Lonchura striata: one gene and its partner. The protein of the gene in region 2 purifies or fractionates together with the protein of the main gene of each other region. This does not show direct contact. Links are inferred from orthologs where the notes say so. Each region holds a gene or a part of one and is shown on either strand. Other genes may lie near its edges. The genes, in order: FGFR2 and RPS6KA3.

Region 1 (12,149 bases), on a different chromosome or scaffold from region 2:
GTATTCTGCAGCATAAAAGCTCTTATTATGCCATTAACTTAGAAGCGTTTTGATTTTTTTTTTCTTGTTTCTGGTAATGATTTCGGTTCTCACATCAAAAATTGTTTCACATCAGTAACATTCCTTCCCAGGAAAGAAGTTTTAAATCTTTTTTAACAATTTACTCTTTGATAAAACCCAGATTCCACCCCCTACATATCAGTGTGTACGACACATATAGTCTCAAACTGTGCTTTCCAAAATAATGAAAGCTATTCTTTCCCTGAAAAGTTGCAAAATTATCAGTCACCATTCAAAAAATATTACTCTTCTTCCCATAAAGCACTTTGCCAATCTTCAACCACATTATTTCTGACTTAACCCTAAAACTAGGGGACCTCACTACAAAGCTAGGCTGAAACCAGAATTATTCATGATTTTGTCGTTCTCCTGAAAAGCCAAAAAGGCACCAGATGTTCAATTAACAAATCATACAGTAAGTGGCAACAAGAGGTTTTGGTTTTTTTTTAAATCTCGGGTTACCTTCAAAAGAAGAAAAAACAAAAAACCCAAGCATTTTTGCTATCAACAATCTCTGTGCCTGACAGATGACAATATTGCTATTCTTTGAGAATTTTTTTCAGGAATGTTTGCTAGGGAAGAGGGCTCATCACCTCTAAATAGTTCATCCCCTGCCATCAATAAAAATGTACTTGGAGTGGATTCTAAAAATGCGTTAGCTGGTGACGTCTATTTTTAGAGGCAGTGGATAGAAACAAATAAGTTTTGCATGAATATTTATTAAATAAAAACGAAGCTGCATCCATGGACATGAGTAGTAGATTGTGTAAAGGCCAAACTCTCTGCAGCAAGCTTGCCAGGTCAGAAATGCTCTGTGGACTATTAGATCAGCTTGACAGCTGAGTTATTAGAACTGTGATCACTCCTCCAAAAGGCAGATACAACCTTATGAAAGAAGCCTCACTTCCTCCCCCAGATGCTCAGAGAGCAGGAATGATCCAGCACAACACAGTAAAATCATTCTTCAACACAATCAGCTCACAACAATGAAAAAGCAGCCTCTCCTGAGCTCTCCAGAGAAGAAAACCACTTTGCAAAGCTTGAGGAGCAGATAAACCTAGAAGAACATACCAACACGTGCAAGCTCAAAATAGGAGATTTTATCAAAACACCTCTTTCAACGTGAAGGTCTAGATTGGCCTTTGCTCTCACAGCAATAAACTCCAGCCCTTCTATTGAGATCTCAACATTCACATCTTCAGAACTTGTGATCCAGGCACTGCACCACCGATTGTGCCTGGATATTAACAGCAACAGGGACGTTTGTCCTGAGTACAAACACCAACAAAGCTGCCATAGCATTTCTGCAGCGTGCCCAGCAAAACTAAACATTCCCAAATGAAAACCACAGAGATTCATTTTTCTCTGGACTCCTCAGGTTAAGACAATCCCAAAGAGCAGCAGCCACTCATCCGCTTTGTTCCTTGAGACAGCAACACCCAAGTGCCACAGAGTGGTTTCCTTAAAGACCCGTTCCTGAAAACTTTCATCTGTACACTTTGATTATACAACGTGATGACAGTCCCAAGTGAAATCACTGACACCACTGGCTTGCACAAGAATAAACAAACGCACGCTTGTACAAACACAGCCCAGGCGAGAGCAGGGAAAGTCAGAAACCGTAACTCGCCAGGGCTGCTCTGCTACTTGCCTTAGATTTACCAGAGCACATGGAAAGATCTTGACTTCTATTTCACATGTCCAAGCATTTAAAATTAGCTTCTTTTAAGGAATTAAGTATTCGAGAGTGATTTACCTTCAGGTTCCACCGTGGTGTCTTCAACAACTAAATTAAATGAAGGTCGAGCCAGGGAAAGTCCAGCCATGGTGACCACCACCAGGCAGATAAGGCAACCCGAATCCCAGCTGACCATCTTTTTAGAGTAAATTCCTGGTCCATTTCCATATCTCCATGTGGACTTTAATCCCATCTGAACACCTCTAGAGAAGCATGGAGAGAAAGCCGTGCCTTCGGCCAGGGTAATGCCTCCTCCCTTGGAAAGACGGCTGCTGCGGGGAGGAGAGAGATGGAACACTGTCAGCAAAAACATCTCCAAACACAAACCAAAAACTTCATAAAGCCTCCAACAGAGCTGAGGTGAGAGGGAGGGGAGCAGGAGGATGGGGAAAGTAGTTTTCCAGCTTCAAGAATATGTGAAAAGTGAGTGACTTTTCATCTTCTGTTAGCAGTTTCCATCATCACCTGAGGCGTAACCAAGTCCTCCTTGTTTTCACAAAATCACTTCTCAGCACATATTGAGAGCTATTTTACTGACAGAAAAACATACAGGTTTTCAAAAAATGAGAGGCACACACATGTGCAGGCATATAACCTGTAATGCTACAAAATTACCACAATTATACAAATTATATTCTTGTTATTGTTTGAAGGTTTATGTAAGTTTGCCTTGTTTTTCATTCCTTCACCTAGGCAGTTCTGCAGCCAGACGAATTTGCAGGAATTCAGTAATTTTCCAGAAGAAAAACAGTTGAAAAAATATACTGCTCAGACTTGGAAAAATCTGTAAGACTATTTCATGGATGTACCTTCTTCTGACTCAGTTTAGTGGTCTTTGGAAACCCCTGAGTCCTTGTCAGGTGAAAGGCTCAAGTCTTTGCAGTGATATTGGTTTGCTACACTGCATTACAGGTAATTAAAATCTGTATAAAATATGGTAGAGAGTGCTGTTTCACAATCACCACTTTCCATCCATACATGCCAACTTTTGTGCACAAAACTTTCTTTGCTCAGTCTCTCAGTGATGCTTATTGAGATATATTTTTCAGAGGTGGGGGAAAAAAAAAGAGTCTATCTTATTCACAATAAAACAAATTTAAATGGATGAAGTTAAGTGATAATCCAGCCACGGTCTGACAGAAGTAGCATGAAAGGAACTGGCACTCCCTTCAGGGGACCCTGTTGCCTCCACACTGAGATGCCAGGTGAGGGTCAGAAGAGCATCCTCCTCACAGGGTGATTTAACAGCTCAAGCAGAAAATGAGACCTGATTTTCCGCTTCAGAAATAAAAGTAAAACCTCAGTAAATGGATAAAACAAGTAACTGCAGCAATTGTTCTAATCTGGTCAATGATTCATCTTAGATGTGATGAAACTCAACTGAAATTTGGAGAGCACTTGTCTGGAAGGGGAAAAAAAACCACAAAACCTCTTTTTCCCTCCTGCCCCCAACACTTGAAAATAAAAAATAAAAAAAATAATAAAAAAAAGAAGAAGTAAGGGAGTGTGGAGATAATGTAAACCTTCTCCAAACTTCTTGTCATTAAGATTTGGTGTGGTACCTCAGCATGCTGAAACAGGGACAAAGATTCTCCTTTTATAAAGCCAACCATTTAAAAAGTTGATTCTGATTTTTATTAGCCTTGCGCTAGCTGCTACAAAGTTCACAAATGCTGCTGGGGCATCTTTTATCTTGGGCACTATACACAGTAACTTTTGGAGTCAGTAGAAACAGGTTTTGGATGACATAAATAAATCACTTGAGGAAAACAATACAAGATGAATCCCTGCTACTTCAGGGCAAGCTTTTTCCAACTCCGTTGGTATCACCTCAAAGCCCTGTCCCTTCCTGTAAAGATTTCAGCCCGGCTCCAGCATCCCAGACCACAAGCTAGCAACTACCATTACATTTCCAGCGAAAACACCACCAGACCACTGCACAAACATTTGCAAAGAGCTTGCCCGGCCCTTCTCTAAATAAGCAGAGAGCAGGTGTAGAGCTGAAGAGAGCTCTGGTTTTGGGACCACTCTGTGCGTGGAGCAAACCCCCCTGGATGCCACCACCCAGGTCCACTGCCCACCTCGCTGTCTGGCAGCCACAGCCCTGCAGCTCAGTTTATCCAGCTGTAAAGTGGGTAGAAACCCCTCATTAACAGCCTGGCTGTAATGCTGATTTCATTTCCATAAATCATCCTGTAAACTCCGATTAAAGCCTATGTTGATAAATGCAAAATCCTATCACGGTTTTGCAGAAAGAAAACATACCAGAACGCCAGCATGTATTTCAAACTCCAAGAGCATTAATTCCACTGACATTCCTGCAGTTTCAGATTTTCAGACTACACTAAACACCACTGACAGCACATTTGTGGTTCCTATCCTCACCCTAAATCCTGAAGAGCGGCACAAAGCTACTTGGCCACGCGTCTCCTCACCTGAAGGTTTTTGTTGCCTCCTGCACCTCAACATCTGCCGGCAGAAAGAAGGGATTCTTCATCCACAGGGCAGCAGCAAACCCAAAATCCTGCCTTGCGAAGGCGCAACGATGCAAAAATCAGAGCTCTGCACCCATCCATGGAGCCAAACCACTCTACCACCAGGACAGCAGACAGGCTTCAAGGATTGCCCTCTCCCAAAAGAAGTGGAGTCCAGCGAAGATGCAACGAAACCACCAAATTCTTTTCATAGTTTAATTGCCACAGTTGCTGGGGGACGAGTCCCTGGAAAGACCTCCTGTGCTGGATAATTATGTACCTCTATCTCAATGTTTGGAACACAGCCCCAGCATGCTTTTTGGCCTCCACAATTCTGGCTTCCTGACTACAATACCATAATCCCTCCTGGAGTCTCAGACTCAGTGAAAGCCACACGTAGTGTTTATTTTTCCCCTTGAAAGGGAACTCTGTCTCTCTTCTCAGCCTACACTTTGGGGAGGAGTTGTCAGCCCCCAATGATTGATGGCTCTCCTTGCCACTCGCTCATCAAGTCAATTTTCACCTCGTCACATACCTGCCCAAATTTTCTTTGCCAAACTGACAAGCATGGGAAAGCAGACTGGTTTGGGAGCCCAACCAAATTCCTCCAAGCTGCACTTCAGTTTAAACACACTCGCACACACAAACAAGTAGTACTTGTTCAGCAGTGACATTAATTAAATTCAATTCTCAGTGTTCTTTTTAATCTACTTGCATTGTTGTTTATAAGATGTTTATCACTCCCCAGGGACAGCACGATTTGTAGAGTATGTTAACCAAATCAATGCATTGGTCACTGTATAACTTTTCAGCATCTTTCTCAATTAGGCGGGGAATAGCAAAATCTGAGTGAAATATGGATCTTCCCTCCACAAAGAAACCTCAAGGGCTCTAAAAGCCTAGTAGCTTCGTCAGAAAAAATCCAGGTTGAAGAAGCTTTAAAGCTAACAGCTTTATATACACAATTCCACTGACAGAAGAATTGTGTATGGACAGAAAATGCAGAAATATACATCCATCTATAAAAATATACATACACATATATATCTAACAAGACTCTTCAGCAGAGTTCAATCGCCAAGCAAATCTGAGTATCACAGCTATTAAACATTAATTCTGAAGGACTAATGGGAACCGGCTGGCAGCTTCAGTACTTTTTCATTGTTTGAACTTCTTTCATTTGCTTTCCAGGACTATCCTGTTTTTCTCAAGTCTTTTGCCACCAAGAGATCGGGGAGGGGGGGGGGAAGAAAAATCTGCATTTTAATTGACATTCCAGAGAGCGGGAGAAGTCCAGAGGCTGCTGATTGCTGTCTATTCAGCCCAAACAGGCTTTTCAGATGAAAATGAGAAAAGGCTAGTGGAAGATTTACAGGGATTTGGTACAAAGGAGACAATAAAGTTTTAAATGTTGATAGCGTTTCACACCAAACGCATAATGGGTCCCAGTTTGAAGGGGCCGTTTTGCATTTAAATATATATTTCATTGACGATTTCTCTCCCCCCTTGTCCCAGACGGGGCGGTTGTGCCCCGCAGCCCCGCTCCCGCAGCACGGCGGGGCAGGACCGGGCTCCGACCCGCGGCCGCTACCGAGGCGGGGCTGCTCCTCCGGGGCGAGCCTCCCTTCCTCCGCCCGTGCTGCTGTCACCGCTGGAACCATCCCCGAAGACACCCACGGGGATGCGGGAACGGCAGGGGAACAGCGCTGCTGCTCGGGCTTCCCCCCGCACCGCAGCGGCGACCGAGCGACCGCAACGCGACCCGCAGCTCCACCGCGGAGCAAAGGGAGCCCCGCACCGGCGCATCCCGGCCCGGGCACCCCCAGCCCCGCACCGGGGGACCCCCGAGCCCCGCCCGGAGCCGGGAGCGCGGCGGGACCCCCAGCCCTGCCCCGGGCCGCCCTTCCCCGGCCCGCCCGCTGCCTTTACCTGCGGCGAGAGCGCCGGGCGGGCTCCGCTGCGGAGCGGCGGCTCCCGGGACGGGGCGGAACTCCCGCGGCTGCGGCCGCGGTCACGGCGCGGGCGGCCGCGGCTGGCGAGCCCGCAGCGGCGCAGCGCCGCGCATCCCCCGCGGGACGCGCCCGGGGCAGGCAGGAGGGCGGCGAGGCGAGGCAGGAGCCGGCCCGGCGCCCCGTCCCGTGCCGTGCCCTGGCTCGGCCGCGGCGGCTACCGCCTCACAGGGGCGAGCCCGCCGTGCCCGGCGCCAGCTGCCTCCTCCCCCGCGCGGGCATCGCCGAGCAGCGCGCCGCGGGTCCCGCTCCGCTCCATCCAGCCGCCCGCCCCGAGCCGCCGCAGCTTTGTCACGCCGACAGCCCCCTCGGGTGGGAGGTGGGTTTTCTCTGCCCCCTTCTCCCCCCCTCTCGGCGCACTCCTCCGGCTCCTTCCTCCTCCCCCGGTCACTCCCCCCGCTGCAACCCGAGCCGTTTCCTGGACGGCGCTGCCGGGCTCTGCCAATCGCCGCCGAGCCCTCGGAGGTGCGGAGCCGGGAGCCCCCACCCCGCCCGGGGGTCGCGGGTGCCCCCGCGGCAGCAGCGGCGCGGGGCAGGAGGGGAGCGGGGAGCCGCGCTCCGGCCCTGCCCGCCCGGGGCAGCGGGGCAGCGCATCCCGGGGCGGCCGCGGGGACGAGGGCAGGAACCCGCGCTGCTCCCGGCCGGCTGCTCCGCTGAAAGTTTTTCCAGCGGGCTGGAAAGGAGAGGGAGAGGGAGAGGTGCGCGGAAAGCGCCGCCGCAGCGGGTGAGCCTGGGCTGCGGCACCGCCACCCCGGCGCTGGGCAGCGTCTGCATCCTCACGCTGAAATGGTACCAGCTCGGCAGTTGTCCCCGAAACCTCTCCTGCAGTGTTTCTGGCTCAGAAGCCACGGCTGGCCAGCGGCCAGTCCCATCCAGAGAGGGTAGCTGGATAACACCCGCTCCAAAAATTACCCTCAGGAGCCTCTCATCCAAAGCTTGATTCCAGCTGCCCCGTGAGTTGGTCTGACAGTGCACTTTTAATACCCGTGTGGTGCCCAAATGGGAAAAGTTGTCGAAAAGTTATGCAAACATCATTTGTTTGGCCACACGGATTTAAAACTGCATAATATTGGTATTCAGAATTCAATATAGCTTAGCCTGATCCTTGCTTAATAAAACATTTGCTTTAGATACCATCAACCATTCAAAGGTTTTGAATATGGAGTCTGTAATGCTTGCTTGTGTAGAATCAGCTTGACAACAAAATCAATAAGTGGTGGTTGCCTCAAATTTAATCAGTGTTGATCAATTTAATGTTACTTTATTTAAGCTCTACTGTACATTTTATATGTTGTGTGAAGTATTGATCAAGGGGATTTTCAAGGACTGAGGCCACGCATCGTAGTGTAAGACTATTTCCACACACCTAGACACCAAAAACTTCAAGTTTTCTGTACTTACCTCCCAGCACGTATTTTCCCACCACTACTGCAGCCTTTATGAGGGAGGGCAGACAAATTTGTAATTGATTGGAAACACAGGTTTCGTTTTTTGTTTTTGCGGGGTTTTTTTGTTGTTCCTAAAGCAACAGACATCTGAATGTTACTAATTGAGAAGCTGAGATGTCACAGTCAAGATCCAATTTTCCCAGCACCGGGCATGTCCATCGCCCATTGAAAACATTGTTAACACATTCTCACATAAATTATTGTCCGGCACAGGAAGCTGCAATACCTTTCCCCATTCATCGATATCTTTGCATACTCTGAAAGAAAAGGAAGCATTCCACTAAAAATGACAAGTCAGAACACCTATTTCCAAGGTCTGGAAGCACTTGTCAGAATTTATTCTTTTGGAGGATGAAAAGATAGCAGTCTATCAATAGCAGCCTTTTCTCTTAAATGAGCCACATTCTCCTAAAGTGGCCCACAACAGCCCAGCTCCTCAATCTGAGAAAAGCAGAAGCATGTTTGGAATTAAAGGGGTGGGGGGGGGGGGATCAATTCTGTCATCATATTTAGGCTTCAAGAGATCTCAGTGGGCCCAGGGAGCCTTTCATAGCAGTTAGGCTGCTGAATGAGAGCATAATCTCTTTACAGTTTTTTCCTCCTCCTCTCAAAGTGGCTGGGATCCTTTCTGTGAGCCCTCCTGCACGTGAATGGTGTGGCTAATAAGCCTATTAATGAGGTTCCACAGCAGAGTGTGAATAGGTAAATAAGCCCCAATCTGTTGAGGTTCAGGAGCAAGGGCAGTAAAGCCATCATGAACTAAAGGTGACAGTTTGAACTGAAATAGGAACAACAGCTCCAGGTTTCAAGCTAAAGAATAGACAGACAAGGCACACATTCAGGCTCCTTCTACCCCCTACCGAGTCCTATTTTCTCTCCCATTCTTCCTCCTTTATAAAATGTCTTGAGTAGTCACCCATTTTTTCAAAAGCTCTTGAGACGTCCTTTTTCATCCTGGCAATGATACATCAATAGGGAGGAAGGAAAATGAGGACACCAATGCTCCTTTGCCCCGCAAGTTTCAAAAGCAGGAACAGCGCTGTGTGCCCTCGCATATGGAAGCGGGGGAGGAGAAAGAAAGTTAAATTGAATCTTTCAGCCCTGCCAGCTCTTTGTCGCTGCTGTCAGCCCAGCTCCAGTCCTCCCTCTGCACGCAGGCAGGGATAGAGTTAATGTTCAACAGGAGCAGGGTCCCAGCCCTGCTCCAGCTGCAGCGAGGGCACAGCTGGGTGATGAGATGGATTCAATCCTTCCCAACATCTCTTTTACCTGGCGGGGTAAAGATGTGCCCGACTTCAGGCAGCTCCTGGGTTGGACCCAGCAGAGCCCAGCTCATCCCTTCATCCCAGCTGGAAGGGATGAAGGCAGAAACTGAGGAGATAGATTAATTCCCTCCCAACATCCCTTTTACCTGGTGGGGTAAAGATGTGCCCGACTTCAGGCAGCTCCTGGGCTGGACCAGCTCATCCCTTCATCCCAGCTGGAAGGGATGAAGGCAAAAAGTTAGGGAATGGATTCATTCCCTCCCAACATCCCTTTTACCTGGGGGGGTAAAGATGTGCCCGACTTCAGGCTGCTCCTGGGCTGGACCAGCTCATCCATAGAAGCCCAGCTGGAAGGGATGAAGGCAGAAGGTTCAGCAGGTGGCAAGCAGCTCGTGTCTGCGGGGAGATGGGGTGAGACGGGCAGGCAGCGCCTCCGAGAAATGCGGGAAAAGTCACCTCGGAAAAAAGCACAGCACAGAGCTCTCTCAGTTCTTCTAATCCCCGCAGACTCTCTGACATTTCTTTTAAGTGCTGGAGATATCAGGGCAGGCAGAGCTCCGCGGGAAGCGGCTCCTCCGTGGAATTCCAGCGAGGAAGCAGCCCCAGCTCCTGGCAGATGGCAGGGGAGGCCATGGGTACCCCGGGGAAGGAGGTTCTGCAGCACTGCACCATTCTCCAGGTGCAGGACCTGCCAACATGCCGCTGATGGAAACAGCAATAAAATACATGGAGTTAAAGCAGGGAAAAAAATGAAAGAAAATGAAAGCCCACACATTCAAGTCTTAGAGGTCTTTGGGGAGAAACTCCCTAAATCCAAATTCAACCACACACATCACCGAGGGTTTTCTCCATGAAAGACAATGGGAATCAACAATTCTTCCCTGTTATTCCAACTGTCCCATCCAAAAATTTCTCCTGCTCATGCTGGATATGATTAAATGCTTGTCTAAGATTTTTCTTTTCTTTGAAGTTCTTCCAAAGCTAAGTGTCTAAACTCAAACTTTGGCAGCTAAAATATTTACCTGGTTTCCAAAATGTTTATGGTTTTCTTTCCAGGCAGCTTCAAACTCCTTTTTAGGGTACCCAAGAGCAAATAATAGGACCCCACTTCTGATTTTTTTTTTTCAAAGACAGGCAAAGTTGCTCTATAGATTTTTCAGTGTCTTAGGGAAAAGTTATTTCATACAAAAACAACCCTGTTTTAAAACAAAAGCTACTACTAAAAGAGAGGCTTCCATCAATAATTCTCACCAGATACTACTTCAAGAGGCTGCTAAATTGAGAAACTGAGATAACAATTAATTATTTTAATACAAATAGATCCAATAATTATCCATGAAAGTGTGAAGCAGATGGGCTACTAAGTTCTTTTGCAGGAAAATTTGTACGGGAAGGGGAAGCTGCTGCTCCTGGCCCATCAAAGGATAGTTTTACTGGGTGTTTATCAAACATGGAAACGTCATTTTGGTTAAGCTAGAGAAGGGGGCAAATTAATTGCTTTTGTCCATCAATATTTGATCTTCCTCTGCATTATGAACGGCTGAATATTCTAGGAAATACTTCTCCAGGCAGTAAGGCTAAGCAGTTGAGGAAAAAAAAAAAATCTTACTTTGACTGTTGCTGTGTCAGTGTCTTGTAATGGCATTTGAGTATCAACACTCCCCTTGGATTGTTATGCCTTGTAGCCATGTAACCTTTCTGCTGCACCTCTCATTTTGTGTGTCTTAAGGAAAATATTCCAAACAAATATTTGTTGTTTTCATTACAGTGTCGCAAGATATATTTAAGCAGGAAATATGGAGTGTTTTGAGCAGGGTATTACAGTGGCATCCTGGACAATCCATGATTTCTGCCCTTCTCCATTGGCTTTCCTGGGAAAAGCACTTAATTTGTCTGTGTCCAAGCTCTCCAGCTATGAAATGAGAATAATAGATGCTTCCTGTCTCCCACCCTTTATCCAGTTCATCTATTTAGATGTTAAGCTCCTCATCTCTGACCATGTTTTTATGCATGGCTTAGAACAATAGGGCAGTGATCTCAGCTGGAACCTCCAGGCACTTCCATAATGCAAATATTGAATACTAAATAATCAAAATAAAAGAAAATCCTCCATTTATTATGTATTCCCTCATAAAGGATTTGTCACACACTGTCCTGGTAAAGCACCCCTGGCTCTCGGGGAACAGTATCATTTCTAAAAGAGTGGAAAGCAGCATCCATGGCAGAAGATCTTTTAGCAGTGATCTCCTTTAAAGCAGAATGCAGAGAAACCCTGTGAATAAACTTCTGACAGAGCCAGACTTGTAAAAACGAGGAGACAAAGGCTGCAAAGAAAATTTCTCCTTCTGTTACAGAACTGGGGTATATTTTACTTGCTGGCCCAAGCACTTCTCGTTTCTGTTTCCAGCTGATCAATACCCACTGGTTTGTTTTAGAGGAGCCCTGTGCCTCACTGGTGGTTGTGGCAGCTTCCCTGCAGGGCTCCATCAGATCAGGTTCCTCCCTGCTGACACCGCAGGGCTCAGCAGAGGTGCTCCAGCTTCCAGGCACAGAGCAGGAGGTGTGAAGTCAGCTTTGCACCAGGGCTCGTGTTACAGTCTGAATCCTGCAAGGAGCAGGAAACTGGAAGGAAGGAACCCACAGTGTGGGCACTCTGCTCTTTCTGTGACCCAGCTGTCCCACAGCACCAAATCCCAACAGATCCCTCCTGCTTCCCAAATCCTCTGCTGCAGTGCCAAGCTCTGCACTTCCAGTTCTCTCTCCCACAGGCCAGGTGCAGACACAAGCAGGCACAGTCACTCTGTAGTTAAAAATATAAAATAAAAAAAATTCTTCTACTTCCCACCTTGGGTAATAAAGCATGAAATGCCTACAACTATTTCCCTGCCTCATTCTTCTTAACCCTCAAACATCTTTCAAGTCAGCATTCTCCAGGCAGTCAATATTCTTTCTCCTCTCCCCATCCTTTGCACATAATTTCCTTTCCTATCTCCTACCGTAGTTTTCACAGGAATTTTCTTCTTCCTCTCAGTGTAAGCCATGCCTTTTATCAGCTCCAGTGCCCACTGGAAGGTGGCCTCCTCCACTTTGCCAGGGGATTGTGGTACCCACAATTTCACTGGGTTGCCTTGGGGAGCAGCCAGTGATCTGCCCAA
Region 2 (12,238 bases):
TGCTTGTCTCCAAGGAAAAAATAAACCCAGTGCAAAATGTCACATTTCAGACAAGAACATCCATGACATGATATGTTGTGAATGTACAAGGTGCTCTGCTGACTAAGGTGTATAAATTTTGTCATAAAATGAGTGGTGCTTTAAGGAGCTAATAAAAATATCTCTTTGTCCTGAGAAACTATTGAACAAAAAAAAATCTGTAGTAATGAAATTAATAATTAAGGAAGCCTTGCAACAGACCAATTCAGCACTCTCTGGAGATGGCCATCTTATTGCAATTTACACTCTCTCTTAACCAACATCATTAGTAGGGGTTCTAAAAAGCAAAAAGTAATGAAGCACTGAAATACTGCAGGAACACTGTCAACACTGATCAAAGCCTTCATCATAGCTTTTGTTCAACTAGGGCAAGCAGTGCATTTGTGTACAGCAGAGGAGCATTCATTCTGATGAAGCAGGCAAAATAACGTCACTGCTTCCTGAAAATTGTGATTTTTAAAATAGCTTCTTTGAAGTCAGACAAAGTTTCAGTTTGCTCAAAGTGAATCAGTAGAGGAAGAATATAATCCTGACAATTTATTTAATCCCTTCTACTGTCTGTGGTGATGTAATACCAAAAACTCTATTAACTTATATGTCCACTCATGAGCTGAATATTTACTTCTTACTACAAGCATTAAGATAAGCCATTGGAAATTGTATCCAGTTGTAACAGATTTAATGTGAATGGTTGTTTGTTTCATTAATCTTGTATCAAGTGACTTTAAAAAAGAAAATACTAACAGATTTCTACAAATGTTTAGAGCATCTCTCTGGCTTATCACTTTGAACACAACAGCCTTTACAATTTTCTGTGATTCACTAAATATTTACTGAAGTATATATAGATTTAACTGGCTATTCATATCCAAGACACAAGTGCTTCTTATAGTATTTAAAACTGTTCTGCTCTTTCTTTAAAAAGCCATCTTCTATCTCAGCATTCCTTCTCTATTTTATCCTACATCTTACATTACCATCCTTGGCACTTAATGAAGAATGACCAACAAGCCAAAAATCTTCCACAGTCTCCCCTCCTCCAGTTAACTTAACCATCTAGTAATAGATCAAGTTCATACTATTCATTAGCCTAAGCCCAGAACCTTCAACAAGTATCAGACAGCATAGATTTACAGTTTCTGACTCACCTGTCACATATATACCATTTTGCATCTCTAAAGCTCTAAATAAGGAACCACATCTTAACACAGTCTTAAGCTGCTCTGCCTTACAGGATAAATGTTGCTGCCTACTCATCCTGCTATTCCTTTTGGCAAGGTTGGGACTCTGGAACAAGGCCTTGACCATGTCTTTTCTCCATCAAATAGGACAAAGTGGGCCAACACAGCCGGGGCAGATTGAGGTACTTAGGGGTGAACAGGGCTGTTTCATCTAACATATTTCTCTTCATTGCTTCCAGATAATGCTTCCAGAGCCGTCTTCCATCACAGTCATGCTTCCCTTCAGTAAGCGCTGACTTTGGGGGATAGAAACATGCACTCACCGTGGAACTGTGTCATTGCAATATGCTGAAATGATTGCTGGAGATGTAAAGTATCCATATTTAGAGTAGGCACCTTTTCACTAGTAAAATCACTTGTAGGACACAAGGAAGGGTGCCAGTATACTTTGGAGTTTGATAGCTCCCAGCCAATATTGAGGGCTGAAAAAACACTTCAGGGTAAGGCAGTCAACAGTGAAGTTCCTTTTTGATGTATCAAGAGCAGAGATGAGTGTGAATCCATCATTCCACTGAATCACGGAGGGGCCCAGGGCTCATACAGGGAGCTGAGGAAAATATTACCTCTACACAGCATCTTGGACATGATCACAAACCTGGGCCCCCTCTGGCACTGCTTTGTTCTCCACAGGGCAAAAGGCAAGGCACAAAGGTGAGATGCTGATGGAAAAGTGAGTGAACAGTCTTGAGAAAATACATGGATCTTTCAAACCAATAGAGGTAACCAACTCTATTTTTAGGTACACCGACAGCACATATCTTGGAAATATCCCCAGACTACTGGGAATGAGCATCAGGTGTTGTCAGGCAGGATAAAGGACAGCTGTTAGCTCAGTCTGGAAAATCCTGTTCAGTATAATTAAGGGTCAGTAAAGAGAAAGTGAAGCTTTCTAGATTTAAAAGGGATTCTTGGTTAAAAGATGATGGATAATCTATAAAAGGAAGTGAAGAGTAAGATTGTTAGAATAGATTTGGTAACTAGTTTTCAAAGAGACCAAGGCACTATTTAATTGTGAGGGCATAAAATCAGGAAATTTAGGTAGTAAGGTTAAATAGCAAAAAAAGTGAGAAAAAGTAGGCTTTGCTTGTCAGTAGGCTTTGCTTGTCAGTAGGCTCTTTAATTTCATAACAATAATAAAAGGGTCTGTGACCCTTAAATTTCTAGATCTGGGAGGGGGGTAGGGTGCATAAATAGTGATGTGCCCTTCTCTCAACAGTGTGTTTTATAGCAATGATTTGTGAAGCTGATGAGTTTTTTATTGCTATATTGTATAATATAACATCATATTCTATCTCTATCACCACTATTTTTGGTGGGTTTTTTTGGTTTTGTTTTGTTTTGTTTTGTTTGGTTGGTTTGGTTTGGTTTTTGTTGCGTTTTTTGTAAACAGCTATCTTGTGTTGTATTTAATGTAAGAGAACTCTGACCCTTGAACACTGATCTTGTTCATACTCCACCATTTCCTTTTTGTCTCAAAATACCACTATCTGAAATTCTAATCTGATTCTCAATGTTCCACTGCAAAGGGGTGACAACTTGCATTCGGTATTTGACAGCAGGTTTCCATGTAAGATTTCAAAGCTCAGCAAGAGGTTTCTTATACTCTGCAGTGAACAGGATAAATTTTGTCATTCAGATGATAAATCTGAGCTATTCTGTATGTACAGAAACACTAAAATGAGAACATATGTTGGAGACAGGTATGCTGTAATGAGACCATATTTTATTGAATTCCAGATTTCCACTCAGGATATAGAAACCACAGGCACAATTATTTCCTGCTAGCATAGTGACCACAGATAAAACTTGGATAAGTAATTCCATCGAGCATGATGCATTATGCTTTACCCTTTCAGTGCAATTTTATGTAAACTTACTTACATCCAGAAAATCTATAGCTTTAAGCAGTGAGTCAGACATTGTATCTCTAACATATATAGGATTTAGAAGCATTCTTATTGTCATTATCACATCTACTATACTTGCAGGATTAGAACTTCAAAGGAGAGCCTGCCAGAGGAAAATGCAGGAAATGTTTGCATTCCTGTATGATTCCATCATCCAGGGGCCTGTAATGGTGAAAGCCCCCTTCAGCAGATGTTGTTTGAAAGGTCAGGTTAAATCTTAGTACACAAGAGACATTCATTTCAGTTCTTCCCTTCTTAGTTATTGATTATAACTCTGATTTGTACAGCAAATCGCTCTGGTGTCTCTGCTATGACAACTCACACCAGCTGGAAACTTCTTGTAGCACTTTGTCTCTCTTCCCCTGGTCTTTGTCAGCTTTCCAAACATCACTGAAACCATCCTTCCAATATCCCAGTGAGGTTAAGGAGATGTTCTTTCTATCTGCACCTAAAGCACAGAGCAAACAATTCTAACTAGCACTAGGCTTCCTTAGTTTATTTTGGCAGAATGTATTTATGCTTCTTCAAACAAGGCCTCCTCACACTTTTCAAAAGATCATGAAGAAAGACTAAGTCTTCTTAGTTGAATCTCATCAATATGAAGTGACTGACTAAATTACACAATTGTCCTTTGTGTTCTGCTAGGAATTGAATCCAGGTGTCTTGAGAGTAAGAGACTCTCTTTGTCTATCAGCTATACAAATAAATGTTATTGATTATTTTTTTAACTCCTTGGAGGTTTTTTCCCATATAAATTCAGACAGTAGCTTCTGCATATTTTCCTGTGCATTAAATTCAAATTATACACCTCAGTGCCTTGGTCACAATACTTGAAACAGAATTTCACACTTTCACATTGTATTTACTGTTTCATATTCCGTTCAGAAGATACAGCATCATAATTCCCACCTAATGCACTACTAGACCTTCTAGATAAGTGTCAGATTGTGGGGCTTGTTGCCATAGTTTCATTTGGGTTTCTCCCAGGTTTTATGTATATTTTAAAAATGCAAGTTGAAGTTCTCAAATATTATTCTGATCATAATGTTAGCAAACTATTTTTGTTTTACACTTCTAATTTTGGGGGGCATGGCTAAGGTGATTTACTAACTCTGCAATTAATTCTGCACTAATTGCAAAGACTATGTAGGTACTACTTCAAAGCTAAGCAAAGCATTAGATCCAACCAGCCATAAGCAAGATTCCCTAATTTCTGTCACATATATATCAAGAGGCTGCCTGTGGGAAAAGAGTAAGTACTATTAAGCTGATGTCTCCCTTGCATTCGAGTGACATTTTAGTGAGGTTTGTTAGAAAGAAGTGGAAAAAAATGGTGCAGCATGTGAAGCCCATCTAATTCATATGACAAGTTAATGGGATTTTATACAGCACTGTCATTTCAGTGCCATATGCTACCCTTTTCCTAACAAACGTGATCAAATTTTTGGTTGCAATGCATATAAAACATCCATGTGGATGCACCACAATTGCAACCACTTATGCAAAGGTGAAATCAACGCCCACAACCGAGCCTAGTGACAGACAGTTATTAGCAGTGACTGCAGTCAAGCAGAGATAGCTGTGCCTAGAGGGAAAGAGGGTAAAAGGAGAGGTCTGCAGCCACAGGTGAAGGCACTACCTCACTTTGGCCTGAGACAAAAGGAATGAAAAATAGGAGCTGCTGTCTTGAGGTAAAATATCTTCAGCATCTTGCCTCTTTCTGGGAGGATGATCCAACTCCGAGCTTAGCAAGATTTGAAAGTCAGAATCCCCCGCATCTCCCAGAGATTAACTGATATGTCTCCCTGCGGAGACACTTTGCAGATGATTTTCTTGCCCTGAAGTCTGTTCTTGCATAGTAGCTCCTACTAAAATCCTGATGCAGCTTTCTCTTTTATAAAATTTAAATGCGTGGTGCAATAATACTGAAACCCCTGAACAATGAAATGGCATACTTCTACCTACTCTGTACTTCAGTGCCTCAGAAAAGGTCAGATTCCTATTGTTTGCAGCTCTCTTACCTGCTAGTGCAGAAGATCTTTGCCCCTGTTTTATTTTGGATTTGTAAGATGCATACAGGGAAGGACAAAAGAAGATCTATGTAAAAAATTCAGAAATCATAACCAAACTATGATGCCCCTCCCCTTCTAAAAAGAGTTTAAAATTCAAACAATTTAGAATATGTACCCGTGGCAAGAAAGGACTAGAAAACTATGAAAGGAAAAGAGATCATGGAGTTTTTTAGTTAGAGGAAGAAAATCTTTTATAAAGAGGGACTTGTTGGACTATGTGAAATGCAAGCTTAGGTTTGGTGTATTGTTCTTGTGATTGCCACTTTTCAGTTCTCAGGTTCATCTCCCTAATGGAACATCTCAGATGTATGTACCTGACTGTGTAGTTGATGCAGGTACAAATGCATGAGTTTTGATAAAGTCAAGTGAAATATTCCTGTGAGGGAATAGAAACTTTTATTTCCAGAGGGATGTAAGGTAACTTTTTTTTTAACATCATGAATTTTTACATGAACTCAGAGATTATTTTTTAAAGTCCTGATTTGTGTGTCAACCACATAATGTATGACTGCTGTAAAAAAATACTTTTATGCTCAACATTCCAGCAGCCAGTTTGAGACTGAAGTGACCTGCTGCTGCTCAGACTATGAAAAATTATTTCTTGCATTATGCTTAATATCATAATGTTTGCATTGTTCTAAATTTCATATCATTAACCAGCTAGGGTTCTGCAACTTGACCACATTGGAAGGAAGCAGTCTAAATTCCTCTTTCAGCCTTTAATATGGTGGGTTGGTTGGTTGGTAGGGTTTTTTTTGAGGACAACAGGAGGTAAAAAAGGTACAGTAGGGTAAGTTTTGATGCGGGTCAGTTCCCTGGTATAACTCACCACATGACAGCACAAGCAATTGCAACCCTTGAAAGAGAGGTCGATGCAAGGGCCAGACTGACTTGGAGTGAATGAGGGTACATCTGCTCCTCCTGGCTTTAGGTGATCATTCAACTATGACCTTTTACTCCAGATATGGAAGTCTCTGTAGGACCAACTGATTCATTATTAGCAACTGCCTATCCACTCCTTCGTTCCTCTTTGTAGATAGGTATTTACATGAACTGGGATCAAAACTGCTACCAAGCAGAAACAGAACCAGTCTGTGTTCATCACAAGAGTGTGTGCATGCACATACACACTTTTAATTACTAGCACTCTTGCTATTTTTCCCATTCCAAAAAACCTTCCAAGTATTTAAAGAATGTTAACTTTTATAAAGGATGGAACAAATCATGTGACCTATCAAAATCTAGAAATGCTCGGGGCAGTGGGGGCTCTCAAAAACTAAGAGGCCTTCTCAGAGTTCTGGAAAGTTTGGCTTCAACAGCAAGAAGTCTGACACCAGTGCTCACCCACCTTCAGTTGCTGGTCTCACGTTTCAAGGATTCTTCAGCATCAGCCAAGCCATCTAATGTTGCAAAACTTGGGTGTTCTTGACAGCGCTTAGCATTTCAGGAAACCATGTAACACCACATAGGCTGTAGGTCTCAGTTTATATGTTTGTGTACCAGCTAACACCTGAAAATAAAAAGTAAAATAAGGGCCGTTTTCTGAACCTTTGGGGGGTTTTTTTGACAACTTTATCTTCATGTCTCTCGGCTTGAGGGAGTATGACTTTCCCGCTTCGAGGCAACTCCCACAGTCCAACCACTGCTTAAACGGTGTTGCTACAAAAACAAATTCCTACACCTTAATTCCTTTCCCTCTTTGCCTAATGATATTCTGCACAATCCCACGTCTCAGCCGCCTCTCGACTTCTCCCTCCGCGCTTGTCTGTGCGAACAAACTCTCCGTGTCTCCAACTCCCCGCAGCCCGGGGAGGGTAGCAGCCCCGGTTCCCGGAGCCGCGGTTCCCCAGCCCCGGGGGGCGGTAGCAGCCCCGGTTCCCCAGCCCCGGGGGGCGGTAGCAGCCCCGGTTCCCGGAGCCGCGGTTCCCCAGCCCCGGGGGGCGGTAGCAGCCCCGGTTCCCCAGCCCCTCTCCGTGGGGCCGGCCCGCCCCGGCGGTGCCGGCGGCGCTGAGGGCGCAGCCCCTCAGCAGCACCGAACGGCGCCGGCGGGGGCTGCCGGGCGCAGGCGCGGGCGGGCGCGGCCGCCGCCATGTCGTGAGCGGAAGCCGGGCCGGGGGAGGGCGGCAGCGCGGCCCCGCCCGGCAGCGGGGAGGGCGCGGGGGAGGGACGGGCGCACCGCGGCGGCGGCAGCGGGCAGCAGTCGCCGCAGGAGCCGCCGCCGGAGCCAGCCGGGCTGTCCCGCGCCCTCCGCAGCGCTCGCTGCCTGCCTGGCCGCCCCCGCCGGGTAGCGGGAACGCGGAGCGCGGAGGCTGCGGGAGCCGGACGGGAAAGATGCCCCTGGCGCAGTTGGCAGACCCTTGGCAGAAGATGGCTGTGGAGAGCACGGCCGAGAGCAGCACCGAGGTACGGGGTGGGCGGGGGGTGCTGCGGGGAAAGTTGTGAGGAGAGAACGGGACCGGGGCTCCCGGTGCCGCCGTCGCTCAGCGGGTGGGCAGAGTTTTCCCCCGGAGGTTTCGGGGCGGGCAGCGGGCGGGGGCCGGCGGCAGCGGCCCGGCGGGGAACGCGGCGAGCGCCGGCCCCTGCACAGCGCTTCCTCTCCGGGGCACTGACTCACGGCCGGCACCGGCCGGGGCTCCCCGGCCCGCGCCGAGCTCGGGGTGTGTTCCCGGGACCGGGCTGCTCCCGGCGCGCTCCCTCCCCTTCCGCCCCGTTCCCGGGAGGGAGTAACCTGCCTCCGTGGTGGCCGCCGGGTCGGGCGCTTTTGTTCCAGCGCGGTGTCTGGTTACTGTCACGGCGAGTTTCCTTTCCCGGGGCGGCCCTCCGCCGCCGCGGCTCGAGGTGGGCAGGAGGGCCGGGCCCGCCCTCGCCTTGCCCGGTGCCCTCGCCTTGCGGCATCTCCCCGTGTGGGTCCCCGCCCGGTGCCGCTGCCCCCTTATCTCGGCAGGATGGGGTTGGCGGCAGTTTCGCAAGAATTTGGGAAACCGCAGGGACGTGAAGGGTGGTGAAGCATGGGTGAAGCTTTGTGCTCGGCGGCGTTGCCGGGAACAAGCCCGGGGTGCCGCGCACTGTGGGTTTCCCGTTGTGGTAGCGGGGAGTGCGTGTTGTGCCTGTCCTTGTTAGGCAGGACGCGTGTCAGCTTTCCTAGGCTGGAATAATGAGAGCGGCTGGAAATTAGAGTCACTTGACACCGAGGCCATAGAAGCTTTCAGCTATTCTCATATTTTTCCTACTACTGTTGGTTTGGATCTGTGTAAACACTGCACCTACACAGTCTGTTGTGCTTGCTCCATGAGTCCTTAGTAGCCCACAGTGCTTGTGCTACTTTGTGACCAGATTCCATCTGAAAAGAAAAAGCTGCTTTTGACAGTGCAGCTTCGACCTGAATCGGCTCCAGCTGATACGCAGCCAGGCTGCTTCAAGTGATGCTGATGTGGAACGGTGTGGACCCAGGCCAGCTCACAACAATTATTCGCAAGGTTAGGACTCTCTCCTTAGTGAGATGAGCATAGAGGGACCGATGCAGAGTTTCTGCAGTATCAGGATTTGTCCTTTTCATCTTTGTCTTCTCATTCTTCTGCTGAAAGTCACTGTATCTCAGGGAGTCAGAAGAACCTACAGGCACATATAATTTTTTAACTCTTGACAGGTAGTTACTTTTTAAATTTGTGCTAGTTATTTACTGACTTCTGGAGTAGTGATCTTAGATGATTTTAAATTGGGAGTAACTACAATAGTGTGATGCTTGGGGGTGGGGCAGAAGGTGGTAAGGGAAAACACTTAGGTTAATCATTTAGAGAAAAGAACTGTTGCTTTAGTCTTTGCTCACTGCATGCAGTCTAACTTCAATAATAGTATATATGCTAGATATGTAGAAAAATAGATTATGTTATTTGCAATGTGTGTACATTCATGATTATACTTCACTTGTTTTAACATATTTCAGACATGATTTGTTTTTAAATTGATGTCATAAACTTTTTGGAACAAGTGTATTTTATCACTTCCTTAAAAATAATTAAACTCATATATTGACATGAGTCTACAGTAGCTTATCACCAAAAAATGTCTAGGACCAATAATAAAACATGAAACAACATGAAGTGACAGGTTTGTACTCCAAGGCCTAGCCTAGAATAAACAGTTCTTGAAGGGACCAGGCTGCACCTGCAAAAGCTTCTCGGATGACACTCAAAAGGAAAAAGTTACTTAGAAACATTGCTTACATTAAATGACTATTTAAGAAAATATATTTTAGTAAAAATAGGTAAGTTTAAATCAAATATGTCAACAAGTGACCTAAATACATAACTTGGATTTTTGATTTGCATGAGTTGTGTTTATCTGTAGCATAGCAATATCCTAATTACAGACCCTATTCTGCAAGAGTATCCTTGGGCAAAAATGTTCTTACATTTGCCTGAAACTCATTGTGATTTCAGTCATAGTTTGATACTAATAATATCTTTAGCTGTAACTCTGAGTAAAGCATTTCTGCTAACCTCTCAGATTTGCTGACACAGTTCTTGTAATGCTGTATTATCAGCATATGGAATTACAAATTTTTGAGTTTTTTCCTTGTCTTAACGACTTATGGAATTTTTAATTGACTTGATTTTTCATTTGTTTTCCAGCGCAGTCCTGTAGTTACAGTGGTACTGCCAAGGAGGTGATGTTCTGTGATGGGTGTGCAAATTTAGGAGGACTAGAATACTTTTAAATAGCTTTAGTTTGGAAGTGTACTTAACCACAAACAGCTGCTGTAACTTAGGTGTGCAGAACAGTAGAATATAATCTTTCTTTTTTAAAAAATCAGACAATTGTTTTTTAGATAAAATGTGGCTTTATGATTTTTAAAAATCATTTTCAGGACTTCTCTTTCTACAGGTGCAAATAGGTCAGTGATCCACATTGTCTCTGACAGCTTTTTTAATGTGTAAAGTTGTTAAAATATTTTTTAAATAGTGTGTCTGTATGTGTAGTTTCAGTTTCATATTGTAAATCAGAGCACCTTTAAAGCTTGTGGAATGATGCTGTTTCTTACTGACTCAGAGTCTACTCAGGATTCATAACAAGCATAGGTTCGTTTTTCATGGTGAGAATATGCCTGTTATTGCAAGTCATCTGCTTTCGAGCAAATTAAGTATTGATGACTTGAGTTTGCATTTGAATGCCTGAATAATTAGCCTGATCCTTTGATCTGTACTCTCAGTTATGCATATTAATGTCAACTGGAGGAGAATGAATACAGTTATGGCAGCCAAATTTTGGACACCAGTATGTTGAAAGAGCTGGCCATCATAAGGAGATGCCATTTGCTAGACTTTCTGGGAAGCATTTGTGACAGCTGTCATTAGGAGTTTTAATTTAGATGCTCAGAACTGGCTGTGGAGAAATTCTTTTCCCATTGCTCTTGACAGGGTTTATGGTCATTTGTTCAGGTGTTTAAATAGGTGCTATGAATCTTCCTTCGCAAATTTCTGTTTTATAGTGTGTATTATTTGAACTTTGCATGAGACAAGGTATGCTAGCATTTAACAGTCATGCTGCTACTTTAAAGAAACTGGTATAATGCAAATTTTGCTTTGTAATTTTATTTTGATTGTCAGTGTGGCATTCTCTATGTCAATATATATTTCTGGCCTGGAAGCTGAAGTTTGTCAGATGTCTTGCCACCTTTAGCCTTGAGCCTGTGGTTGTGATTGTCTCTTCACATTCTGTACTGTGAATCAGTGTTGTCCTTGTCTTCCACAGGAACTAAGGCAATATTTACAGTCATTTCTGGTATAGCCAACACAGGTAAATACTTAAAGCCAAAGTGGAATCACCTAAATGGACCAATCTGTGAGGATTTTGAGAACTATCCATTTTCTCTCCATTGTAGAAAAAATTATGTGCAGCACTTGGCTGTTGCTTCTCACGTAGAACTGCTGTCAGCATGGTACATTCTGAAGTCTGAATTTTTCACTGATTTATGGGATGATGCTTTCTTGTACTGAGTTAAAAGTGGGAATTGGAAATTTAATTCTGATTTAAATAAGTAGCATAAACTATATTCCACAAACTGCTGTGATAGATAACAGATCTTTTATGTATGTAAACACAGCCTTGAGAAACACATAGTCTGCATGAAAAGTGTTACAGGGGGTGGTCAGATTTTTCATAACCTTATTGGCACCATTTTAGCCGATTTGTTTTTCAGTTAACACAGTCATAGTCCGTGACATAGTAAGGATGTCCTGTGGTCAGCTGAGTGGGGCAGGAAAAGGCAGGAGTTTTACTTTGTTGACTTCAGTACCTTCTTGCACTGCTGTGTACTCCCTGCAGTTCTTGATTTTTTTTGTAAAGGTGTTGAGTTTAACTTCTTTTAATGGTTATGTTGCTTTTCTTATGACATTGGCAGTTTTCTTGTAATTGTTTTGTTCGTTTTAGTGTAGGCAATATTTCTTGCCCCAGCTGGGATGTGTAACATAAAGTAGATGTAAGAAGATTGACACATGTAAAGGCGTGTCTGTTATCTTTGAACTGGTTGTGGTCTGTCACACTGACTGTAGATGTTTGTAATTTGAAATGCTAGACTTAAAGTCATATTGATATATAGACTGAGGTGGGCGTTTAATTATTTCTGCACATCAAAAGTATTAGCTTTGTGTGTTGACTGATCTTGGCAGTTGCCAGATCTACCAGCTTTAAGAACTCAAGATACTCATTTGGAATTGTCATTTTTCTGTGGCACTTGGTTGGGGGAGGTGTTTTGTTTTGGATTTGAGGCGCTTTTTTTTTTGTTGTTTGGGTTCTTTTTTCCACCAGATATAATTCATAGCCATATTCCAATAGTGAAACTTTTAACCTGTTTTTCAGGCTAGAGTAGATTCATATAATTGGGTTTTTTAAATCTTGATAACTTTCAAGAGAACAGTTTAATCAGTAAAATTTGAAAAAGTTAGAATCCCTTCAAAGAACTTTTAAGTTTGGGCAAAGT

The links.
Region 1: the proteins of RPS6KA3 (region 2) and FGFR2 purify together in Homo sapiens (affinity purification with mass spectrometry; 3 studies listed by BioGRID and IntAct, counting the BioPlex papers as one, with this or other methods). This does not show direct contact. The link is inferred for Lonchura striata from reciprocal best matches to the Homo sapiens genes RPS6KA3 and FGFR2.

Annotation. Positions count from the first base shown.
Region 1 is NC_134609.1:28,083,511-28,095,659, forward strand, and holds the start of FGFR2 (fibroblast growth factor receptor 2), read right to left. Parts: upstream 6,293-12,149; 5' UTR 6,202-6,292; intron 2,071-6,201; 5' UTR 1,992-2,070; coding exon 1,817-1,991; intron 1-1,816. UniProt on the Homo sapiens protein: Tyrosine-protein kinase that acts as a cell-surface receptor for fibroblast growth factors and plays an essential role in the regulation of cell proliferation, differentiation, migration and apoptosis, and in the regulation of embryonic development.
Region 2 is NC_134604.1:102,352,702-102,364,939, reverse strand, and holds the start of RPS6KA3 (ribosomal protein S6 kinase alpha-3), read left to right. Parts: upstream 1-7,446; 5' UTR 7,447-7,590; coding exon 7,591-7,662; intron 7,663-12,238. UniProt on the Homo sapiens protein: Serine/threonine-protein kinase that acts downstream of ERK (MAPK1/ERK2 and MAPK3/ERK1) signaling and mediates mitogenic and stress-induced activation of the transcription factors CREB1, ETV1/ER81 and NR4A1/NUR77, regulates translation through RPS6 and EIF4B phosphorylation, and mediates cellular proliferation, survival, and differentiation by modulating mTOR signaling and repressing pro-apoptotic function of BAD and DAPK1.